Linked DNA regions of Sus scrofa. The protein of the gene in region 2 interacts with the protein of the main gene of each other region in a pairwise test. Links are inferred from orthologs where the notes say so. Each region holds a gene or a part of one and is shown on either strand. Other genes may lie near its edges.

What was found. The genes of interacting proteins can lie anywhere in the genome.
Region 1: the proteins of C6H1orf94 (region 2) and TBX6 interact in binary tests that used the Homo sapiens proteins (3 or more experiments, as listed by UniProt). The link is inferred for Sus scrofa from reciprocal best matches to the Homo sapiens genes C1orf94 and TBX6.

The regions. Positions count from the first base shown.
Region 1 is NC_010445.4:18,275,004-18,279,400, forward strand, and holds the start of TBX6 (T-box transcription factor TBX6), read right to left. Parts: upstream 2,862-4,397; 5' UTR 2,374-2,861; coding exon of another isoform or gene 2,343-2,373; exon of another isoform or gene 2,297-2,342; intron 1,918-2,296; 5' UTR 1,869-1,917; coding exon 1,751-1,868; intron 1,659-1,750; coding exon 1,424-1,658; intron 930-1,423; exon of another isoform or gene 732-929; coding exon of another isoform or gene 589-731; coding exon 321-588; intron 238-320; coding exon 91-237; intron 8-90; coding exon 1-7. Other genes in the region: YPEL3 (protein yippee-like 3), read right to left, coding at 3,419-3,485, 4,305-4,366. UniProt on the Homo sapiens protein: T-box transcription factor that plays an essential role in the determination of the fate of axial stem cells: neural vs mesodermal. Acts in part by down-regulating, a specific enhancer (N1) of SOX2, to inhibit neural development.
Region 2 is NC_010448.4:90,439,406-90,443,930, forward strand, and holds the start of C6H1orf94 (uncharacterized protein C1orf94 homolog), read left to right. Parts: upstream 1-1,527; coding exon 1,528-1,856; intron 1,857-4,525.

The DNA of each region.
Region 1 (4,397 bases), on a different chromosome or scaffold from region 2:
GTGTGATCTGGAGGGTGGAGGGTGCACAGCCGGAGTCAACATCCCCGCAGCCTGGACAGGGGCGCCGCCCCCTCCGCCGGGGTCACTCACCCGCGGGTTCTGATAGGCTGTCACGGAGATGAACGCGGTCTCGGGGAAGCGGAAGGAGGCCACGCCCCCCCAGTGTTGGCTGCAAAGCTGGGCGGCCCGCACCAGGTGTATGCGGGGCTGATACTTGTGCATGGAGTGCAAGATCAGCTGGGAGGGAAGAAACAGGGGTGACTCCCTACCCCGGCCCCACCCCCACCCCCCATCGGGGGGGGTCCCAGCCTGGGCCTCACGTGGCCGTGGGGGTCCAGCGTGCTGTTGGTGAGCTTGACGCGGTGAAAGGACACAGGCTGCCGCATCCAGTGGGCACCGGTGGCGGGGGAGTCGGGGTGGATGTAAACGCGGTCCGGCAGGCGGGGCTCTGCCTTGCCGCTGGGCTCCCAACGCCGGCCCTGCCAGCGGTAGCGAGCCCCATCCACCGGAACCACATCCAGAAGAAACAGGTAGCGGGCCTCGGGGTCCAGGCCGGTGACAGATACTCGGCAAGCGGGGAACATGCGCCTGAGCGGAGGAAGGGACGCGAGAGGCCTGGAGCTACCTACCCGCCGGGGTACAGCACCAGCCAGGCGGCATAGCCACAGAAAATCAAGGGACCTGGAATCCGAGCTCCCAGGGCAGATCTTAGGGCCGTAAGCTTGTCTCATCCCATTTTACAGATGAGAAACAGGACAGTGAGTCACACAGCAGGTTAGGAGCAGGTCCAGACTCCTGACTCCTGGCCCCTCAAACTCCATTGCAGAAGCAGGAGTGACACGGTTTTTTTCCCCGGAAATCTTCCCAGGAGCCCTGTGTTCCCCAGCTTGATCTCCAGCACCAGAACCTGTAGCTGCTGGAGACACTTGCTTCAGAGAAAATAAAAAGGGGCCTTATCATGCCAGGGCCTGAGTTCTCGGCCTAGATAAAGACCCACACACAGACCATATCCCTGTCACCAAGGTGACCCCAGATCTAGTCACATCCTGACCTCTGATCCTGGCCAGACTTCCCTGCTGCTGGTCAATGGCCTGACCCCACTCATAGTCGAAATCCTGACCCTGGCCACAGACTGACCCCTGATCCAGGCACACGCTAACCTATAACCTAACCAGACTTTCCGACCCTGGCCCAGAATGACCTAAGACTCTTGCCATAGGTTAGTCCCTAAACCAGCCGCAGATGCCACAGACTGACCCTTGACCCTTGCCACAGAATGACCCCCTGTGCAGAACCCCTGATCCAGGCCATAGTCACACTCTTACGAAGAGCCCTAGCCCCATCCCCTGGACCTCTGCCTTTCCCAAGAGACCCCCACCAGGGACACCTCCGGGGTCCTCTGACCCTGGCCCAGCCCCCTCACCTCCCGGCTTTGGTGATGATCATCTCTGTTCCTACGGAGTTGAACTCCTTCCACAGCTCCCGGTTCTCCAGGCTCAGGCTGACTCCAGGGAGAGAATGAAGGGCTTCTGGGGCTGGAGGGGGTGGCTCGGTGCCCAGGGCTGGGGGCAGTGGGGGTAGAGGTGGGGGCGCAGCCAGAGGGCGGGGAGCAGCTTCAATCCCAGAGAGGAAGCAATCCAGTTTGGGAGGGTCCAGATCTGGAGATGGGAAGAGAATGAGGAGCCAGCCGAGGGCCACAGCCCCCCACCCCAATTCCTGCCCAGGAACTGCTCCCACCGCTCATGCTCACCCGGGTAGCGATAGCTCTCTGCCAGGGCAGGCGGGAAGCTGGAATCTGCCCCGGGCTGGGGGGGCCCAAGGCGGTAGCTGGGCCCCAGGGAGGGGTACAGCTCCCGTGGATGGTACATGGAGTAGTCCTGTCTGGCCTCAGGTCACGCTGCCTAGAGTGCCCCGGTGCTGAGAGATGCCCGCTTTATAGCTCACAGCTCAGCCCCTTCCAAACCCAGGATCACAGCCCCTCCCCTCTTTGGGGCCCTGGAGTTGGGCTGGGGTGGAGACCCCTGGGGCCTGGAAGGGGTCCAAGAGGGGGCCGGATACCTGGGTATCCTCCCTTTCTCCCCTCCCCACCCCCCTAGGCTTCATTAGCCCCGACCCCCTGCCCCCTCATTACATAATTAACTCCTCGGCCTGATTGATCCCCGGGGCTCGACAGGGACGCAGTTTGGCGCTTCCGGCCAGCTGGTCCCCGTTCCCACGGGGGGAGCCCCGGCTAGGGATAAGCTACTGAGAGGCGGGGCCTGGGCCCAGGGATGGAGCTCGGAGTCCTGGCACAGACCTTGGCGCCCCAGACTTTTTTGGCAGGTGACCCCTCCACCCTTCACCTGGAGGGTGAGATGTGGAGGAACGAAGCATGACTGGAGGGAAGGAGCAGGGCTGGAGGGACGCGGCCTGAGCTCACTGGGGAATTCGAGGAGTCCGCAGCTGAGGCCTGAACCCTGGCGTCCTTCTTGGTTCCCATTCCGAAAACCCTCCACCCTCGGCCGAGTCTCAGAAGTTTAAGAGACGCCCGCAGCTCGACGGTCTCTTGACGGCTAGCACCTGGGTTTCCCAGAAGGTCCCGCGCTGGGGAGTCCACGGAACTACACTTCCCAGCAGGCCTAGCGCCTGGGTTCCGCGCGAAGGAGACAGGCAGATGCCGCTGTGGCCGCTGGAAGTTGTAGTTGAGACGAGGAGGGCGGTGAAACCGGCGGCGCCGTTGCCTCCCGGGAGAGCAGCCCCTAGGCGGCGTCTGAACTCTTAGGCTGAGAAGATGCAGATCAGCTGAGGTCAATGCCTCACGAGCTAGAGTGGGCTCGGGGAATCTCCACCGGCAGTGAGGTCCTTCCTGGGTGCCAAGATAGCTGAGCCCCAGGTGCAAAGGTTCTCAGCTTTGACCGCCGTGCCTACCCCACCCGGGATCCAGAAGGAAATGGGTCTGTAGAGACAGGAGTCTGCATTTGAGTCCCCCCTTCCCGGATTCCACGTGAGCCTGGGCTGTCTCCACTTCATTGTTTTATTATGTACAAACGCTACAGAACAAGGGGAGCAGACACGCGTGGGGTAAGAGGGGCCCGGTGGGAGGAGAAGTTCACAGGGCAGATGGCGCACTGGGGCCAAGAGAGCAGCACACAGGCCATGTCTATAGGGCAGGCAGGGCAGGAAGGGGTTAAAAACGAGATCCAAGCCAGCCAGATCGCAGGGAGGTGCGGGGGTGTCGTCCACCTTGTCCACCTTCTGATCTCCCACCAAGGTCACAGTGCATGCAATAAAATATATGTACAGGATCCTTCCTCGGCAGGGGCCCTGAGGTCCAGAGCTCCCTTCGGATGGAGGCAAGCCCGTGGCGCCCCCTGGCGGCCAGGCCGGGCTGGAGCCACAGGCGTCAGGAGCCAGGGTCAGTCCCAGCCATTGTCTTTGATCATGTGGTTGAGTTCAATGATGTACTTCCCCTCTTTGTACTTCTGGCTGCTCTCGAAGGCCTGTTCCTGAAAGGAGGGGAGAGGCTGTCATGCTTGGAGCTAGGGCCTACCAAAAGGAGCAGGGGTTGGGGAATGGATATGATTTGGCCCTGTTTAACGTAGGAGGAAACTGTGACCCAGAGAAGCCCAACCACCTGCCCATAGACACAGAACTGGTAAAGGGCAGGGCTGGGCTTCCCACTGACAGCGGACAGACAGAACTCTCTGAATCACAGCTACTTTTTAATTACTAATGTTGGCTCCAACAGAAAGGATATGGAAGTTTCCAAAAGATCCAGGGATTACAAACTGGTAGCTTGAGGGCCATTTGGGGCCTATACCTATGTTTGGTTTGGCCAACAGAGAGTTTAATATAAAGAACTTTAGAATACTAAAATATGGGGCAGGCTGTGCTCGCTCCAGTTTGCCAGACTGCCCCCCTCCTCTCCAGATCTATGCTGCCCTTTTTTGCAGATCAATAGTATCTGCTTGGCCCTGCAAGCAGCTGAGTTTCTGATGTCTGGATGAGGCCATCTCTTTATTTTACAGAGGTTCAGAGGCCAAACCAGAGCACATTTGTGGCAGGGCCAGGGGTGAACTCAGGTCAGGGTTCTGTCTCTGCCTGGAGCATCTGTCTCACAGAGGCCCCACTCTTGTCCTTTGCGGTTTTCCAGCAGCATCTTCTTTTGCTGCATCTAATCTGATCCCCCTAACAATCTTGGGTGCCAGGTGGTGGCTTGATCCTCCACTGCCAGATAAGGAAATGAGACTCAGGGTAGTGAAATCAAACCCCGAACGGCAGCAGGGGGCAATGAGGGCAGTGGAGAAGGAGGCTCATGAACCCACCACGCTCCATGTTGCTGTGGGGCCTTGGGCAACTTCTCTGATCCTCTGAATGGCAACAGAAGCTGGGGAGCAAGGGTTTGGAGTTAAAAAAAA
Region 2 (4,525 bases):
CCGAGGAGGAAGGGGGCCCTCCGTGTAGGGGCTGCCATCGAGTCGGTCCCTCTTTCTGCTTTCCCCTCCTCTGGCACTTCCTCTTCTGGGGAAACTCTGGAGGAACAACCACTGACTCCCAGGGCCAGAGAGCCCGAGGGCAGGCAGAGGCGCCTTGTCAGTTCCGAGTTAAAGTCCCTCTAGCGAGGGGCGGAGCGCTCTGAGCAGCACAAGGTTAGCTTAGCCCTTCTCTCTGCACCTCCGTCCACCCCCAGGGAAGGCTTACGCAGCGCTGGAGGACCCGGCCGGTCTATTTCAGCAGCCTGGGGTGCCTGGGTTTGAACCCCAACTACCTTGTTCCTGGTGGGCTCAGTCCCTTCAGGACTTTGTGACTGGGTTTCTTCAAACGTGGAAGGATAATATGTAAAGGTACTAACTTCATGAGCTGGTTCGGAGTGAACCGGCCACGGAAAGCCGGGCGCTTGGCACACGGTGAGCACCCAAGCAAAGGACAGTTAGGGGTGAAATCAGCGATCCTGGGGCAGGGACCGGCAGGCTCTCAGGAGGGTGCGGAGGTGCGAGGGGGACGAGGCGGAGGGCGCGGTGCCCTCGACTTTTCACGGGGGAAGCGCTCTGGGGGCCTCCGCCCACCGGAGGGCCTGGGCCTCCCAACCTAGGACGCAGCGCGCGCGCACCGAGCCGTTGCTTTTGAAACCCTCCGCGGAATTCCAGCGCTGGACGGAAAGGGTGTGGGAGCCACCGGCAAGCGAATCGGCCCCAGCTGCCCCGCTGAGACAGCGCTCTTTTAAAGCATTGGGACCCTTCCCGTCGACCCCTAGGGCCGTGGCAGGTGTCTCCGGGGGGGTCGCCAGGGCACTCAACAGTGTTCCTGCAGGCGGAAGAGTAGCCAAGAGAGGGGGGACCCGAGGCGGCAGTGGGCGAGCAAGTGGGGGGGGAGGGGGTAGCGGCCTCTGCCGACCTAGGGACGGTTGGCCCTAGGTGGGAGCGGGGTCCCTGGGAAAGCCAGACGAGAATCCCATGGCAGGCTGCTGGACCCTGGTGCCTAGCACAGTGCCAGGCCCTCACCTGGTCATCCTCCAGGCTTAGCCAGCGATGATGCGCTGAGCCCCAGACACCAAAAGGTGTCAGGGGCTGCTGCGGACGTGTCGCAACGGGGGAGTGCCAGGGACTGTGGGGAGAGCCAGGGACTGTGGGGAGAGCCAGCCCTCCCCTTTCATCTGTTCCCAGATGTCATTCTGCCGGCTCAGGCGCCTGGTTCCTGAGCACAGGGGGATTCTACGGTTACTAAGCTACTGGTTTTTGTTGACTTTTAAATATTTTCTTCTAAGGGAGGGGGTGAGGGGGGCAAAAGTCAGGAAAGAGCAAATAAAAACAAATCAAAATAAGTTCCCCCTCCCTAAAAGAAAGCTGTCATCCAGCCACCACTCATACACACATCGAAGGCCTCTGAACAGAGTCACTTTGCTGGACCAACAGCCAGACAGAACTGACCTGCTTCTGCCCCATCCTCATCTCCCTTTCTGGTGAATGAGGGGTGGTGGTGGATGGTCGCCCTGTTTTCGAGCTCTGGGTGGACAAAGGGGCTTCCAGAAAGAGAGGAAGAGGATGGCCAGTGGGAATGGGCTGGCTTTGTCCTCGGCCCTGGTGGCCAAGCGCCCTTCCGCCCTAGGCCCATTTCCCAGATACATCTGGATCCACCAGGACACACCCCAAGACAGCTTAGACAAGACTTGCCATGAAATCTGGAAGAGAGTTCAGGGCCTGCCTGAGGCCTTGCAGCCCAGGACCTCAAAGGAGCAGCTCTCTGCCCCTGTGGCTGGCACTCCAAGAGACAACGGGCCCAGCTTCCAAGAAGAGTGAGTGTCCCCTTTCATGACCCAGGGGAGGAGGGAGGAGATGAGGGCTCACCCTCCGGGGGAATGTTCTGACCTCTTGTTGAATCTGGCTAAACCCTAAAGGTTGTGTATATTTCCTCTACCCACAATGGTCCTTTTTCCCCGTCTTTATAGGAGCATTGATTGGGGTCCTGAAGTTACCTGGGCAAAGAACCAGACCAGGGCTGTATTGCTGCTGCCTCTGACCCAGCCCACTAAGGGCAATTTCTCATTCCAAGGCATAGGCTACTCAGATGTAGGTCTGAAGACCTTGAAAAGCCACCCTAGCCAAGGCTGAGGGTTAGATGTCCACGGCTTTCCTCAGACGCACAGGGAGATCCTTCTCCCCTCCCACCCCCAAAGGCTAGGCGTTGACACAGATGAGTCTGATGGTTTTAAACCACATCTGGAATTCCCTAATACAGGGAGCAGCTGTCCCATTCAGCCTCCACAGAAGCTGCTGCAAGAGCGCACATCAAAATATTTACTGGGAAGGCATTGACATATTCAGAGGACATAATAGAAAATTAAAGTGCGGGAAGATGGCTGTAAATAGCCCGTTTCCTGGATGGGAAATCCTGTGTCTGGGAAACGCAGAGCTAAATGTTTCTCCACCAGGGCAAAGTTGGGCAGATGTTGTTGGGGATGGATATTAGAAAGGAAAGGGAGCAACAGAGAGGAAGAAGGGACCTCGTTAGGAAGAGCAAGTAAATCCACCGAGTTATTCATGCCACCACTGAGCAGTTGTTTGCTGCTTTGCATCTTCAAAGTGGGCTGCAAACATTAATTAATCCTCCCAGAGTCTCTATGAGGCAGGTATTAGTGTCCCCATTTTACAGATGGATTAGGTGTTAATAATTAAGTGCTAATTAAAGACTAAGCGATAATTAAGTGTTGCCTGTTTCAACACATGCTCCAGCTCTGCTCAGAGATGCTCTGGAGTGAGGGAGCCATTCAGGCAATTATCAGCTGCATCTGGTTTCAGGAATTTCTATGCAAAGTGTAACTGCTCCCCAGTTCTGCGCTACCTGCTGTCCTTTTTTGAGCTCCCTTACTTGCAACACAGGAAGGTGGAAAGCACTTTGGCTGTCATCGCCTCCCTTGCTCCCTGCTCAGCAGGACATGGCTGGGATGGCAATGGCCTATCTACAGCCAAAATCCTGCTATCCGGCCCTCCAGTGCCACCGAGCCCCTCTCCTCTGCCCACCACCATCTGCTCTGGGACAAGGCCTTGGCAGGGGGCCTGTGGGGCTGTGTTCAGCTCTCAGTGGCCAAGGAGCTGATTGTCCACTTTATGGACCAAGGGTCAATGGCAATTTCCAGTCGATGGCACCCTCTCTGCCAGGTCACAGGGAGTTAATGGAGCCAGACTCTAATTCCAGTCTGTGCTTGGCCAAGAAGCGAACTGGCACACCTTTGGCCAGTTGCTTAACTCCCTTTGGCCTTGATTTTCTCATCTGCAAAGTGAGGCTAATATGCCCTGCCTTGTCCACCTCAGAGTTGATAATGAGAATCAAATGTGATGGGAGACAGAAAACTGGAAGCTGCGTTATACCAACGAGGCTGTCCCTAATTGCAGTTCTTGGGGTTCTGGGTTTGGTTGGTGTTTTTGATGGCTTCTATCTGCAGTTTTCACGGGATCCTCATAGACCCTATGGTGCTTCAGGGGCCCTGCTGGAGTCCCAATCCCCACCTCAACCAGAGCTGTTCAGCTTTTAGGGGTTTTATTTACTGAAGTTCTGCGTACTGGCTGCATTTGAAAAAAGGGGTCTGCTATGAGAAAAGAGCGAGGAAACCGTTGCCTTTGATGAATAAGCAATACCATAGTCGTGCAGATATCAACCACGTCAAACACAATGAGCTATTCTTGAAATAAAGGCAGCTGCGATGGTAGAGTCAGATAGCTCTGGTTTCAGATCGCATTTCAGCCCTGTGCCAGCTGCAGGATTTGTTTAATTTATGTGAGCTTCAGTTTCCTCATCTGCCAAATGGAGATGATTACTATGCATTTCTTTGGGTTGTTGGGATGATTAAATGGATATTTAAACATTCCTGGTAATAACTAGGATTTGTAAAAATTCCTTGTAATAATGATGATGATTTCTTTAAGCCCTACAATTATTACATGAAGTGGGTACTATTTTAAACTCCCTCTCTTTTTCCTTTTTGTTATGCAAATGTTCAAACTCATAAAAGAGAATAGTATAGTGAAATGTCTATCAATCAGCTTCATTAATTATTAACTTTGTGCCATTCTTGTTTCAGTTCTTCCCTCCCCTGTTTTTAAATCATACTCTTTTTACAGATGAGGTAACAGGTTTGGAGGGGTTAATTTCCCTTTCAAGAAGTCCTACAATTAGGAAGTAGTGGAGTTTGAGAAAGCAAACCCAGGACCATCTTAGTCATCCATGATAGTGTTGGCTATCTTCCCCTAGAAACAGAGGCATCTTTTTGGAGAGTCAGAATATTGGACAGTCCCATGTTCTGAGTGATCACCCAAGGGTAACAGATTTCAAATTCAGGGAGGGTAGTTATGGGATAACTTCTGGCCCACAAGCTAGCCTCTCAGCCAATCTGTCTACTGTTTAATTTGTAGACCTGGTTTTGGTGATGCTTACTGCTATCAGGATAGCTAGAGAAGTTCTAGAACT